Linked DNA regions of Daphnia pulex. The protein of the gene in region 3 binds, or shares a complex with, the protein of the main gene of each other region. Links are inferred from orthologs where the notes say so. Each region holds a gene or a part of one and is shown on either strand. Other genes may lie near its edges.

Evidence for each region.
Region 1: the proteins of armadillo repeat-containing protein 8-like (region 3) and glucose-induced degradation protein 8 homolog are in contact, whole or in part, in a cryo-EM structure (PDB 7NSC), measured with the Homo sapiens proteins. The link is inferred for Daphnia pulex from reciprocal best matches to the Homo sapiens genes ARMC8 and GID8. Residues at the interface, in NP_001350870.1 of Homo sapiens: Asn45, Val47, Ile48, Gly49, Asn50, Val85, Ser89, Met92, Arg127, Arg130, Arg161, Tyr162, Tyr166, Leu200, Ser201, Tyr202; in NP_060366.1 of Homo sapiens: Ile83, Ala84, Asn87, His90, Pro91, Glu92, Leu94, Asp95, Thr96, Tyr101, Tyr183, Glu184, Asn185.
Region 2: the proteins of armadillo repeat-containing protein 8-like (region 3) and glucose-induced degradation protein 4 homolog are in contact, whole or in part, in a cryo-EM structure (PDB 7NSC), measured with the Homo sapiens proteins. The link is inferred for Daphnia pulex from reciprocal best matches to the Homo sapiens genes ARMC8 and GID4. Residues at the interface, in NP_001350870.1 of Homo sapiens: Glu309, Pro310, Asp311, Val312, Asn371, Glu373, Arg406, His409, Arg413, Ser414, Val415, Gln416, Arg419, Thr420, Gln423, Asp424, Val444, Ser448, Cys451, Asn452, Leu455, Phe457, Ala483, Val486, Asn487, Trp490, Met493, Asn494, Phe497, Gln498; in NP_076957.3 of Homo sapiens: Leu104, Ile105, Pro106, Pro107, Pro108, Pro109, Ile110, Gln114, Pro115, Gly116, Val117, Ala118, Thr119, Gly125, Gln146, His147, Tyr154, Cys156, Tyr158, Phe174, Glu176, Phe239, Val241, Pro242, His244, His292, Ser293, Ala294, Pro295, Ile296.

What each region holds. Positions count from the first base shown.
Region 1 is NC_060019.1:2,413,361-2,416,479, forward strand, and holds glucose-induced degradation protein 8 homolog, read left to right. Parts: upstream 1-1,455; 5' UTR 1,456-1,513; coding exon 1,514-1,634; intron 1,635-1,706; coding exon 1,707-1,966; intron 1,967-2,031; coding exon 2,032-2,286; intron 2,287-2,336; exon of another isoform or gene 2,337-2,427; coding exon 2,428-2,484; 3' UTR 2,485-2,603; downstream 2,604-3,119. Other genes in the region: AT-rich interactive domain-containing protein 1B-like, read right to left, coding at 1,328-1,350; nucleoporin NUP35-like, read right to left, coding at 2,650-2,727, 2,802-3,002, 3,070-3,119. UniProt on the Homo sapiens protein: Core component of the CTLH E3 ubiquitin-protein ligase complex that selectively accepts ubiquitin from UBE2H and mediates ubiquitination and subsequent proteasomal degradation of the transcription factor HBP1.
Region 2 is NC_060026.1:848,949-852,141, forward strand, and holds glucose-induced degradation protein 4 homolog, read right to left. Parts: upstream 1,849-3,193; 5' UTR 1,435-1,848; coding exon 1,288-1,434; intron 1,228-1,287; coding exon 1,060-1,227; intron 993-1,059; coding exon 898-992; intron 832-897; coding exon 630-831; 3' UTR 535-629; downstream 1-534. Other genes in the region: ras-related protein Rab-40B-like, read left to right, coding at 99-334; probable ATP-dependent RNA helicase DDX5, read right to left, coding at 2,283-2,305, 2,373-2,468, 2,531-2,761.
Region 3 is NC_060025.1:9,364,987-9,369,337, forward strand, and holds the start of armadillo repeat-containing protein 8-like, read right to left. Parts: upstream 2,802-4,351; 5' UTR 2,704-2,801; coding exon 2,677-2,703; intron 2,616-2,676; coding exon 2,542-2,615; intron 2,477-2,541; coding exon 2,352-2,476; intron 2,283-2,351; coding exon 2,193-2,282; intron 2,127-2,192; coding exon 1,933-2,126; intron 1,871-1,932; coding exon 1,292-1,870; intron 1,231-1,291; coding exon 1,048-1,230; intron 979-1,047; coding exon 769-978; intron 703-768; coding exon 361-702; intron 294-360; coding exon 127-293; intron 66-126; coding exon 35-65; 3' UTR 1-34. Other genes in the region: stathmin-4-like, read left to right, coding at 3,251-3,275, 3,348-3,397, 3,454-3,579, 3,642-3,818, 3,876-4,016, 4,079-4,219, 4,288-4,351. UniProt on the Homo sapiens protein: Component of the CTLH E3 ubiquitin-protein ligase complex that selectively accepts ubiquitin from UBE2H and mediates ubiquitination and subsequent proteasomal degradation of the transcription factor HBP1.

The DNA.
Region 1 (3,119 bases), on a different chromosome or scaffold from region 3:
CTCGTGAAAAATAATCGAAAAATGGGGAGCGAAAAAATACACACACACAGAGAGAAAGATCCGAGTAGCAGCAGCAGCAGGATTTCCCGTCTTTCATCCGCATGTCTCTCTTCGTGGTTTTCCATCGGGGTGGAGTTGCGTTGAGAGGGGAAGGAGGGACCCGGAGGGAGGGAATACGGGACGCGGAAACCCAAAATGCGGGCGTCGTCGTCGTCGCTGTTCATCCCGTGAAAAACAAAACAAAAAACTCCTTTTTTCATCGTTGTAACTGCGTGTGTGTGTATGCTGGTGTCTTTTCTTTATCTAAATCTTCTTGTTTTTTAAAGGGGAAAAAAAATCTGCCATCACCTTTCGAACGGTTTCCAAGGGAAGAAGAAAACGGTTCCGGCGCAATCCAAATATTATCGCGACTAGAAGCTCTTTTTTTTTCAGTTTTCGGGGTTGTTATTTCTCACCGGTATACGGCGGCGGCAGCGGCCCAACGGTTTTTGTTTAGTCGATGAGTAGAGAGTGAGTGCTAGCATGAGAGAGTGTTGACGCCCTTTAGGATATCAACACCAGCACCGACGGACTGAACGACCGACAGACCGTGTGTGCTTTTAATCCCCCAAAGAGAGAGAGAGAACGCGTCACACACACCAGCCGAAAAAAATGAAAGAAAAGCCTAGGCCGATCATCGCCACCTTGAACCGAAATGTCAATTTTTTTCAATGCAAATCGCGCTGATTGAGGGCAGAGTTGAGGAGGTGTTAGAGACGTAAACCAAAATACATACCTTGGCTAGCTACACTAATGATACTCAAATGGTGATCTTGGCCATTTTTGATCATCCAACGTTGTTGAATCATGAATGAATTTCCATCTCATCAGATTCCTGAAACAACTGACAGGCAGTCCGTCATCCTCTCCATGGATGGGATTTAATTACCACTCGTCTTGTAATTTAACTCTCTTAAGTTGAGATTAATCCTCTGGTATTTACATCACAAGTCTGTTTCGGTCAGATTCAAGGGGGTAAAAACAGTGAGTTGACGTCAACATCAGTGGCAGTACTCAATCCAGGGAATAAGTTGGAGGAAACCTTTGCAGTAACTTACAAAACCCATTAGGAGTAGCTGTAAGCTTGGAGAAATAAAAAAAGAAACGAGACGCCAAAAACTAAAAGTTTCATAACAGCTATTATAGCTTGTTGGTAGACCCACCCTTTACTATATGTCACTGTGAATATGGACGCTGAACGCAAACAAACTGTACGGCCGTTCGTCACTCAATGAATCAATTTGACCGATAAGATGGTTTAGCTTGATAAAGGAACAATTGAGCTTACTTGTTTCGATCAAGGTCTTCCATAACTGCAGATAAACTTCACGGAACTCGGGAAACCATGGCTTTAATATTTCGTGACTGACGTTTAATAGTCGGCCATTTTGCAGTTTTGCTGTGTAGTTGACAGCGCCACCGCTCTTTTTATTTACATCCCGATGTTGATCGAAACAGTGTACAGTAGTAGAAAATGACCGCATTTACAGACAAGCCTTCAGAAATTGGCAAGCAAGAATGGTTGGAAAAGTTGGAAAATGTTCATCTACCGCGTACGAACATGAATCGTCTAGTGATGAACTACTTAGTGACTGGTAAAATTATTTTTTTTCTAGTTGTGTTGTTCTCCTTTTTAACCAGATTGCATTATGACATGAACTTTGCAGAGGGTTTCAAAGAAGCTGCTGAAAAATTTGCATTAGAGGCAGGCTTCAAGGCTCCTGCGGAGCTGGAGAGATTGGATGAAAGGATCAAAATAAGGGATGCCATTCAGGCTGGGAAAATTCAGGAAGCAACAGCCTTGGTTAATCAACTGCATCCAGACTTACTTGATTCAGATCGTTATCTCTTCTTCCACCTCCAACAGCAACATCTCATTGAACTCATCAGGCAAAAAAATATTGAAGAAGCTTTGAAATTTGCTCAGGTAAATTCAACTTACCAAAGTCATCTGCACATAATTTTCATCCCAGAGTTTGTCTATTAAAATAGGAACATTTAGCTGAACGTGGAGAACAGAATCCAGCCATCTTAGGGGAATTGGAGAGAACCCTAGCACTATTGGCCTTTGATGACCCTGAAAAATCCCCCTTTGGAGATCTACTACATACTTCTCACCGTCAACGAGTTGCCAGCGAGTTGAACGCCGCAATCCTCAAGGCAGAGCATCGTGAATCCACAACCCCTCAACTAGTCTCCTTGATGAAATTGGTCATGTGGTCTCAAGATCAGCTTGATCAGAGAAAAGTGGGTGCTAAATTGTCAGAATACTTCTCTGAACTAGTGTCAGGAAAAAGTTGAATTGGACAGTCTTTTATTGTGATGCAGCAGATTAAACATCTTTCCATGTCATTGAAGATTTCTACTAGTTTTATTTCGTTTTATTAGGTAAAATATCCACGGCTGACGGACTTGGCGCGCGCCACACTGGATGACCCGAAGTAAATTGTTTCGACCCCAATCAATTACACTCATTTCTTGTTTTGTTCCTTCCATCGACAAAGTCTCTTCACAAATTACTCTTTAATCAACTGATCCATCGGAATACAGACTCGTTAAAACAACAGGGTGCATCCTGTCAATCCCTTATCCTTAAATACATTGAACATTTTACCAGCCAAAGACAAAATCCATTGCTTTGGAAACCAAACTCGAGTTGGGCTGCGCTGTCGTTCGTTGTTGGTTAACCTTGAGAGTCGATAAACACAAAAGGTGTTGCGTTAGAATTTTAGGACACCATATACGTGATAATATTCTAGTACCTCATAATCAGCTTGTGCTCCTTTGTAAGTCTGAGTCAGTGGTCTAAGATTGCTACGATCCAAAGCAGAGGGAGTTCCACTGGTTCCCAAGGCAAACGAACTGCTTCGATCCCAGATTGCTGGTTGTGGAGTTGAAGTGATTCTCATGGCTGGAGTGCTCATACCTGGCATGTTTTCCTTTCTATTTTCCTCCATAATGGACTGTAAAATACAAAAAGTTAAATTAGACATCAAAGTTATCTTTTCTTCTGGTGATCGTGTGAATTACCCCATCAGTACAGGGAACTACACCAATTATGAGAGTGTCAGTCAAAAGTC
Region 2 (3,193 bases), on a different chromosome or scaffold from region 3:
TCTTTAGAGTAATTAGTTCCCATTTAGTTATGTGTAAACGAATTTAGATATTGTTCAATCCCAATTGAAATCCTAATTTTTAAAATTTTGATCAACAGTGTTATCGCTCCAAGAGTTGTGCTGCCGCTCAATCGTCTCGCAGACCTCTGTCTATACCATAGATCGGCTTCCTCTGCCACCAACGCTTCATTCGCAGCTGCGTTCGTACGCCCTTAGCAGCGGCTGTGCCCGACACCACCCGCACCACCCCAACCATCACCACGAAATGAAGATGGCCATCAAAAAGTCAAGACTCAGTCATGTTCACGCAAAACTCACCTGCGTCATTTCATGATTTCGTTGTCGCTTCTTTTTTTTTTAACATTTTTCTATTGTCAATAGCTATCTCGAAAGTTTTACCAGCTCTCCCTTTCTTTTTTTGTTGATGATTTTTTTGTCTCCTTACGTCAATCCTCTCAGCGTGTTGCTAAACGAATTTTTCTCGTATTTTTTTTTTGTTCGTCCTCTTAAAAAGGAAAAGAAATACAAAGGAGCTTAGAAGGCGAAACGATTTTCTCTTATTACAACTCGGGATGGGCGTTATTCATGCTTATTTTTTTCAACAAACAAGATATTTGGTGGAAGGAATTTTATCGAAATTCGTAAATTTGAATGCTGTGCTCAGGCACGTGAGTGAGCGTCAGCGATTGATACCATTCTGAACTGCGGTGGTAGTAGTAGCCTTCGATCGTGGCTGTCGACTTTTGAAAACAGATGTAGTAAAAACCAGCAAAACTGGCCCCATTAATATCTTTGATAGTATGATCAGGCACCAGAAAATGTTCTTTCCATCTGACCGTAAAAACATATGTCACAATATCAGATTGACCAATTACTGGTAATTTGAAAGATATTCACCTCATGAAGACATAATCTGTCTCCTGCATGGCATCATAGTCAAAAGTATCTGAATTGAAAGTTTTTGCATATTGATAAAATGACAGAAACTTGCTCTGCAAATTTGAAAAGGTACATTTCATTATTAGTTGACGGGAAGTCTAAAGTATCAAATTCGCATACCCAATGTTTCTTGTCAACATCTTCATCAGCATCCCATTTGCGAGTGAGGAAAGGGAATCTTTTGCTGATGATTTCACCATCAAAGAAAGTAGTAAGAGTGGGAAATTCTTCGGTTAAACCTTTGATTTTCAGGTAGCCACATAAATATGAATTCTCCTCATCAACATGCTGAACATAGAAATTGAAACATTAGAAATAAACAGTTTACTCATTTTAATGAATCATTACCTGAAGTACAACTTCTACATCGTAACAATTTCCTTTAGATTTCTGATGACCCTGAAATCGAGAACCATTGTATAAAAGCGATCGACACACTCCTGGCTGATGCGAATTTGCCGGCGGTGGTACGTGAACGTCTGTTTTGACTGGCATCGGACACTTTTTGACAGAGTGGACAGAAGTTTGGGATTAAAATTTAAGATTCTTACAAATCAAAGCTACAATACAAATCACACAAGCTGTTATGATCACAGCTTTACTCGACTACTGCCTGACACCAAAAAAAAATCAAGCACCACTGAATTTAAATGCGATGTTGCCAAATTGCTCTCCTTGCTCACACTTGCGTTTATTGAGTCGAATCTGGCTGGTGCCTGGTCAACTACCTACAAAAAATAACTGCCACATTCTACAAGGACAAAAATGGACTGTACGAAGCGTGAATTATAAATGTGAAATAACTAGGGCTGGTTTTGAAGGACTATTTTTAACGCAGAGCCTATCGAGTTCAAAGCTTATAAAAGAAACGTAACCATAAGAATAAAAAAATATGCTTGATACTCCTTTCACTTATTTTCACCCCTTCTCTACTACAACTGGAACACTTGTAGAATTGCCAACTAATCCAGTTTTAGAAATTTATTTAACCAAAAACCCAGATCGACAACCTCAAGTCAAACAATTTTACTCATAGGTGGTTACGATTACTTTGTATTCCGGTTAACTCGAACAAACATAAGAGTACATTGTAACGTGTCAGTGAAATGGCTGATGTAATTGCCAAAGATATGAAAAGACGTCGAAAAAAATATTGGCCTACAAAAACGAAAAGATGAAGCGTGGTGTCGGGAACGGAGCTTTAGTGCTCGGACAGGATTTTATGAAAATGCCAAGAGACTTCCTCGTTTTTACTTGTTTAAATTGGAATAATTAAATGTTGATTCAAAAAAAATCTAGGTTGACAATTGTTTTGAATATCGGTGCTAGGTTTGAAGTCCGTCTTAGCGCTCCACCCAAGAACGGCCTAAATAAACAAAGAAATAAGAGACTTAATACTTTATTCAACCAATATCACAATCAAGTTTATTTACCAGAGTTGTAAGACTGTCCGCCACCATATCCTCGGTTTCCACCTCCGTATCCTCCACGGCCACCATAGCCTCCACCGCCTCCCCATCGGGAACGACCTGTCAACACATCATATTCATTAAAATCAAGAACGAAACAAATATTTGACATCGACAATTACCTCCTCCACCGCGATTGGAAGATGCGAGTTCGTAGAGTTTTGGATTGACAACTTGGTTAGCCTCTGTCAAAACGTTCACCAAATCCTGGGCTTGCTTGGAATTGTTGGGAGTGAAAAATGTGTACGCAGTTCCTGTGCGTTGGGAGCGGCCAGTACGACCAATACGGTGGACGTAATCCTCGGAGCAGTTGGGGTAATCGAAGTTGATGACAAATTTGACATCATCCACATCTAATGCGCACAACACAACAAAGATTAGACAACGAACTCTCAAATAAATATAAATTCCCCGAACAATTAAAAGCCCTACTCGACAATGCGACTGCCATAAAAAAATGCGAGAAAAAGAAACCATGTAAAATTGAAAAAAGAATTTGTAGAGACCAACAAGGTGCGGAGTTGTGTAGTAGGAATTTTTACCTGTGGTACCTTCGAAATTCCTTTTGTTTACACTGTTCCGCGTGTGAGAGGAGAGTACACTCGCCAGTTGCCGCCGGCACACGCCATGCGCTGCTTGATTTTCAAGTTCTCTGCCACGCCCGTCCCATCTCTAATCTCCGAGATCGGCCAGGGGTGGAAAAACCAGGTGCAACACAGACGGCGCGCAGGACTTTGGGCGAATCTCCTCATCGTCTCTCTTTAACTCAAATCAAGCCCCACGCA
Region 3 (4,351 bases):
GATAGGGGCGTGGTGTAGGAGACTTCCGATTTGTTTAGGAGAACTGCTGCAGTGCCGCTTTGACCCTGTTAAAGACAAGGAAACGTTATTATGCAACGTCAAGGTCAATGAAATTCTACGTTTTACTTTTCGAAGAGTGTGGCGTCGTTGGTGCAGAGGAGTTGCTGCAAAATTCGATAAACGCCCAATTCCCTCAGACGCGCCTGACGTTCGAGGCAGCCGTTGTCTTCGTTCCACGCCAAATTGCCGATGCAAAACGTGGCGGCCGTCTGCAGTTTGACATTCGAATGCGACTGGAAGAAAATAGAATTGACGTATTAAACTTGGGAGGCGATGGATGGATTTAAAAATATTAGATACCATGTAATTGGTGAGTTTGCGCAGGACGTCCTCATTGGACATGATGAATTCCTTGGCCGTTTCACCGTCAGCGATATTGGCCAGAATGCACAGGGCCTGTTCCTTGACGTCGGGGCTGTGCTCGCCCTCCAATATCAGAATGACGGCCTGCATGATCTGACGACCGTGCTGGGCCATAATCAAATCAATATGCGGCTTTGTCGATAACAAATTCCTCAATAAGCCAAGCGTTTTCATGACGACGCCAACTTCGTGGTCAGAGAGGAGCCGGAAGACTTGGTCCGTGCCCAGCGACGACAAGATTTGAATCTTGATTTTCTGCTCGGCCTGGAACGCCATGTTCTATATAATATAAGACGGGGGTCAATTGAATCAATTTTGTTGTCTTTGGACTCGATGAACAAATACCATCAGGGCCCAAATGCCGTTGAGTCTCAGAGCGGAATCTTCTCTACGCGTCAAATTGCATAAAAGTTCCACGGCACCAGACTCGAGGATGGGCTCCTTGGACGGCGAGAATTCCAACAGCAAATTGCACAGCGTCGACGACGCCACGGCCAAAATGTCTTCGTCCGCATTCTGCAATAACTTCATCAGCGGCTTCCACACTGAATGATCCTAATTGAATTGAACGTCACCTTGTTACAGACCTTGGCTCAAATTTGTTTGGGGGGGTGATTGAATTACTTGAAAAGTTGTTCGTAGTTGCTGGACAGATCGAGACAGAGAATGAAGGCACCGGACGGCAGCCAACTGGACTCTGTGATCCCCACATTCCGTCAATCCCGTCACCACGTGATCCATCAACTGGTCCGTCTCAATGATCCTTTTACGGATGTCTTCGTCATTGGCGCCCAACGATGCAAATGCCTTTTGACAAGGAATCATATTAAGTATCTCTTTCTCGTTTGAATGGAATTGAATGAATTACCCGGAGAGCGGCTTGTTTCAGATTTTGAACTTCTTTGGCGCTGGCAGGAGCGTCTTCGTCAATCGACTCGACTCCAAGTTGCTGCACCGACGAGTTATCTCGAGTTTTAGCCAAAAATAGCGAAAGATTTTGAATGAGGTGGTCGGAAATGGAGGCCACTCTTTGCAGTTCCGTGTCAACTTCTATCAGATAGGCCAGTGTTTCCGCACCAAGAGCCTTTTCCGTTCGCCTGTTCTCTTTCCGGCACATCCGCACCAGACAAGGCAATGTCTTGTACAAGATCTTGCCATCGTCAGCACAGATCGCTCCAGCTCGATGTAGATAGGTCAGACAGCGGGCTGCTACAAGCTGCATGGCCACCGGCCTGTCACGGGCCATCAAAGTCACCAAGTGGTCCGTCACGGATTTGCCGCCGAAGCTGGAGACAGTCAGAAGGGCCGAAACGCGTTGGTTCTGATAGCACAGGGAAGCGATAGCGTCCAAAGTGGCTAACTGAACATCGCCTACAGGAGAATTGAGCAAAGCGGCCAGGGCTGGAACGGCTCCGTTGGCGCAGAGAATCGCTTGGTGTTCAGACGTCTAGGTTCAAAAAAGTTGAAATGTATCAATCTTTCAGGCATTATTGACATTGTACTATCCACCTTGCAGGCATTGGTAAAGATGGAAGTGACAGATATTTGGTTGCAAACTGACAGTGGCATGAGTTTCAACAGCTGGGGCACCAATCTTGAATCTGCAAACAGGAGGTCAGTCTTTGTCGCTTCGTTCTGAAATAACTGTTGCAGGGCTCTGAGGGCAAATTCAATAACTTGAGGATTTGTTGATGCGCAGACATCTGTCACATGAAAAAGAAAAGTTTCAGATTTTAGTTTCAAATTAGCTACAAAGGAAATCACGTTACTGTTTAGTAGGAAAGGAATAACTCCCGCTGCTGTTAGGGATTTAATGTGGTTTTCATCTCCTCGTGCAAGGGATCCAATCACTGCTATCACTAAAAATCAACAAAGAAAACCGATTGAATCTATTGTTGTGACACCCTATTTCTGAATGTGATATTTACCCTCCAATTTGAGATCATCACCACCAATAGGATCGTCGAGTAACTGAATCAATCTTGGAGTAATACCCTGTTGAATGATCATATTCTTGGCCTTGTTGGAACCGATAATCATGTTTTTGATGTATCTATGAAAAAACAACTGTTGGATTATCACTTTCCTTTCTTGGAATACAAATACAAAAATATTTACATGACAGCATCTAGGCATTTTGCACTGTCTACATCGTAAAGGTTGTCAACGTACGAGTTACAGCTCTCAACGTCCTAAAATGACCAAATAATTGATAAAAATAACCAGAATGGAAAAATGTCCCGAATTCTTTACCATGATTGAATGAATTAGTTTAGTCATTTTTCTTCCCAAATGAAAATGCGTCTCTGTTCGAAAATGGCTCAAGCCGGATTGTCTGCTAGCAGACGCTACTAGTACATAGTGCAACTTTTTCACTTTAGATGGCGTTGTAAAATTGAAAAGGGCGCCAGTTTTCGTTTTTCATAAAAATCAGCTGCAGGGCAAGAGTTTTCACTTTTCCCGCGCCCGCAAAAATGGGGAGGGGGTAAGTAACAAAAGGCGGTCGCCATGTCAACTGAACCCCAGTAGCCAGTTTCGTTATTCTATTTCACTTGCATTCATTCGCCATTTCGCTTGCAAACGAGAACGTTGGTTCGAACTCCTCCACGAGACTTTTTTCCTTTATAATTTTGTCTTTGCCAAGGTAATTGATTGTTCAACGTTAATTTACACTGTCATTTGAGTAGAGGGTTAATATTTGTACTTGCCAATTGAATTGTGAATCCTTGTTTAAACTTCCTTTGTTGGAATTGATCGTGACGAGGACCACGCCTGAATTCATGACGTAATCTTTTTATTGATCTTAATCGATTAGGTGTCTACAGCTATGTCTAGCCCTATTGATCAAGAAGGTATGTAGGATTTCATTGGTCAATCTTTTGTGGTTTAGAGTTGCCTAACTCTTGGTATTATGGTGCTTGCAGTTGCTGCTATTCGTGGGGAAGAGAAATCCAAGGGAGGATTGAGTTATGAGGTAAAGTCTTGCCACATGTTCACTGAAACATAACTTCATGGTTCATTGTCAACTAGGTTATCTTAGCAGAACCAGTAAGCGATCGCCCCCCTTCACCACTCACTGTTTCAACACCAACTCGTCCTCAGCCCTCTGAAGAAGAGATTGAGAGGAAGCTATTGGCGGCCAAGGAAAGGCGTGAGGTTGGTCAAAGAAGCAAATTAACTCGTCACAGTTACTTAGGGGTGTTTTGTGATTTCTCCAGGCTAATAGGTCCATCAATGATGTGGATGAGAAAATCAACCAAGCTGTGCAAAAGAGGCAAGAGATTGTCTCAACTTTTGTCACCAAAACCAAAGAAAATTTAGATGCGAAGATGGAGGAATCTCAGGAGAAGAGAGAGGCTCACTTGAACTCTCTCAAGACCAAGTTGAAGGAGCATGTAAGTGTATTTCATTGTAAAGATAAGTTATCTGGTAAACTTATTCATCGTGCCTAGTTGGAACGAGTGGAAACAGTCAGGGTGACTAACGATACCAAGCTTCAAGAGATCCAAAAGCAAATTGACGAGAAGCTGAAATCAGCTGATGAGAAGCGTGACGAAATCATCAAACAACTTCAAGAGAAGCTACGCCTTCACGTAATAATGTCTTTAATTATTCGCATGGAAACTAGAAATTAATTTAAATTAATTTATTGCAGGAAGAACATATCAAGTCTGTCAAACAGAGCAGTGAAGAAAAGACCAAAGCCATGGAGGAGCAAATCCATTCCAAGATTCAACTGGCGGCTGAAAAACGCGAAGAGATTGAAAAGGAGATGCTGGAGAAGCTCAAGGAACAGGTAATTTGTTATTTTTGTTCATTCCTAATGTAAAAGATGCCGTTAACAATAATTGTGTGCGGTTGTAGGATCGTCGCGGTGAACTTGCTCGCCAAAAGAAGGAAAATCGTCTGTCTGGTGGGGGCCAATGTG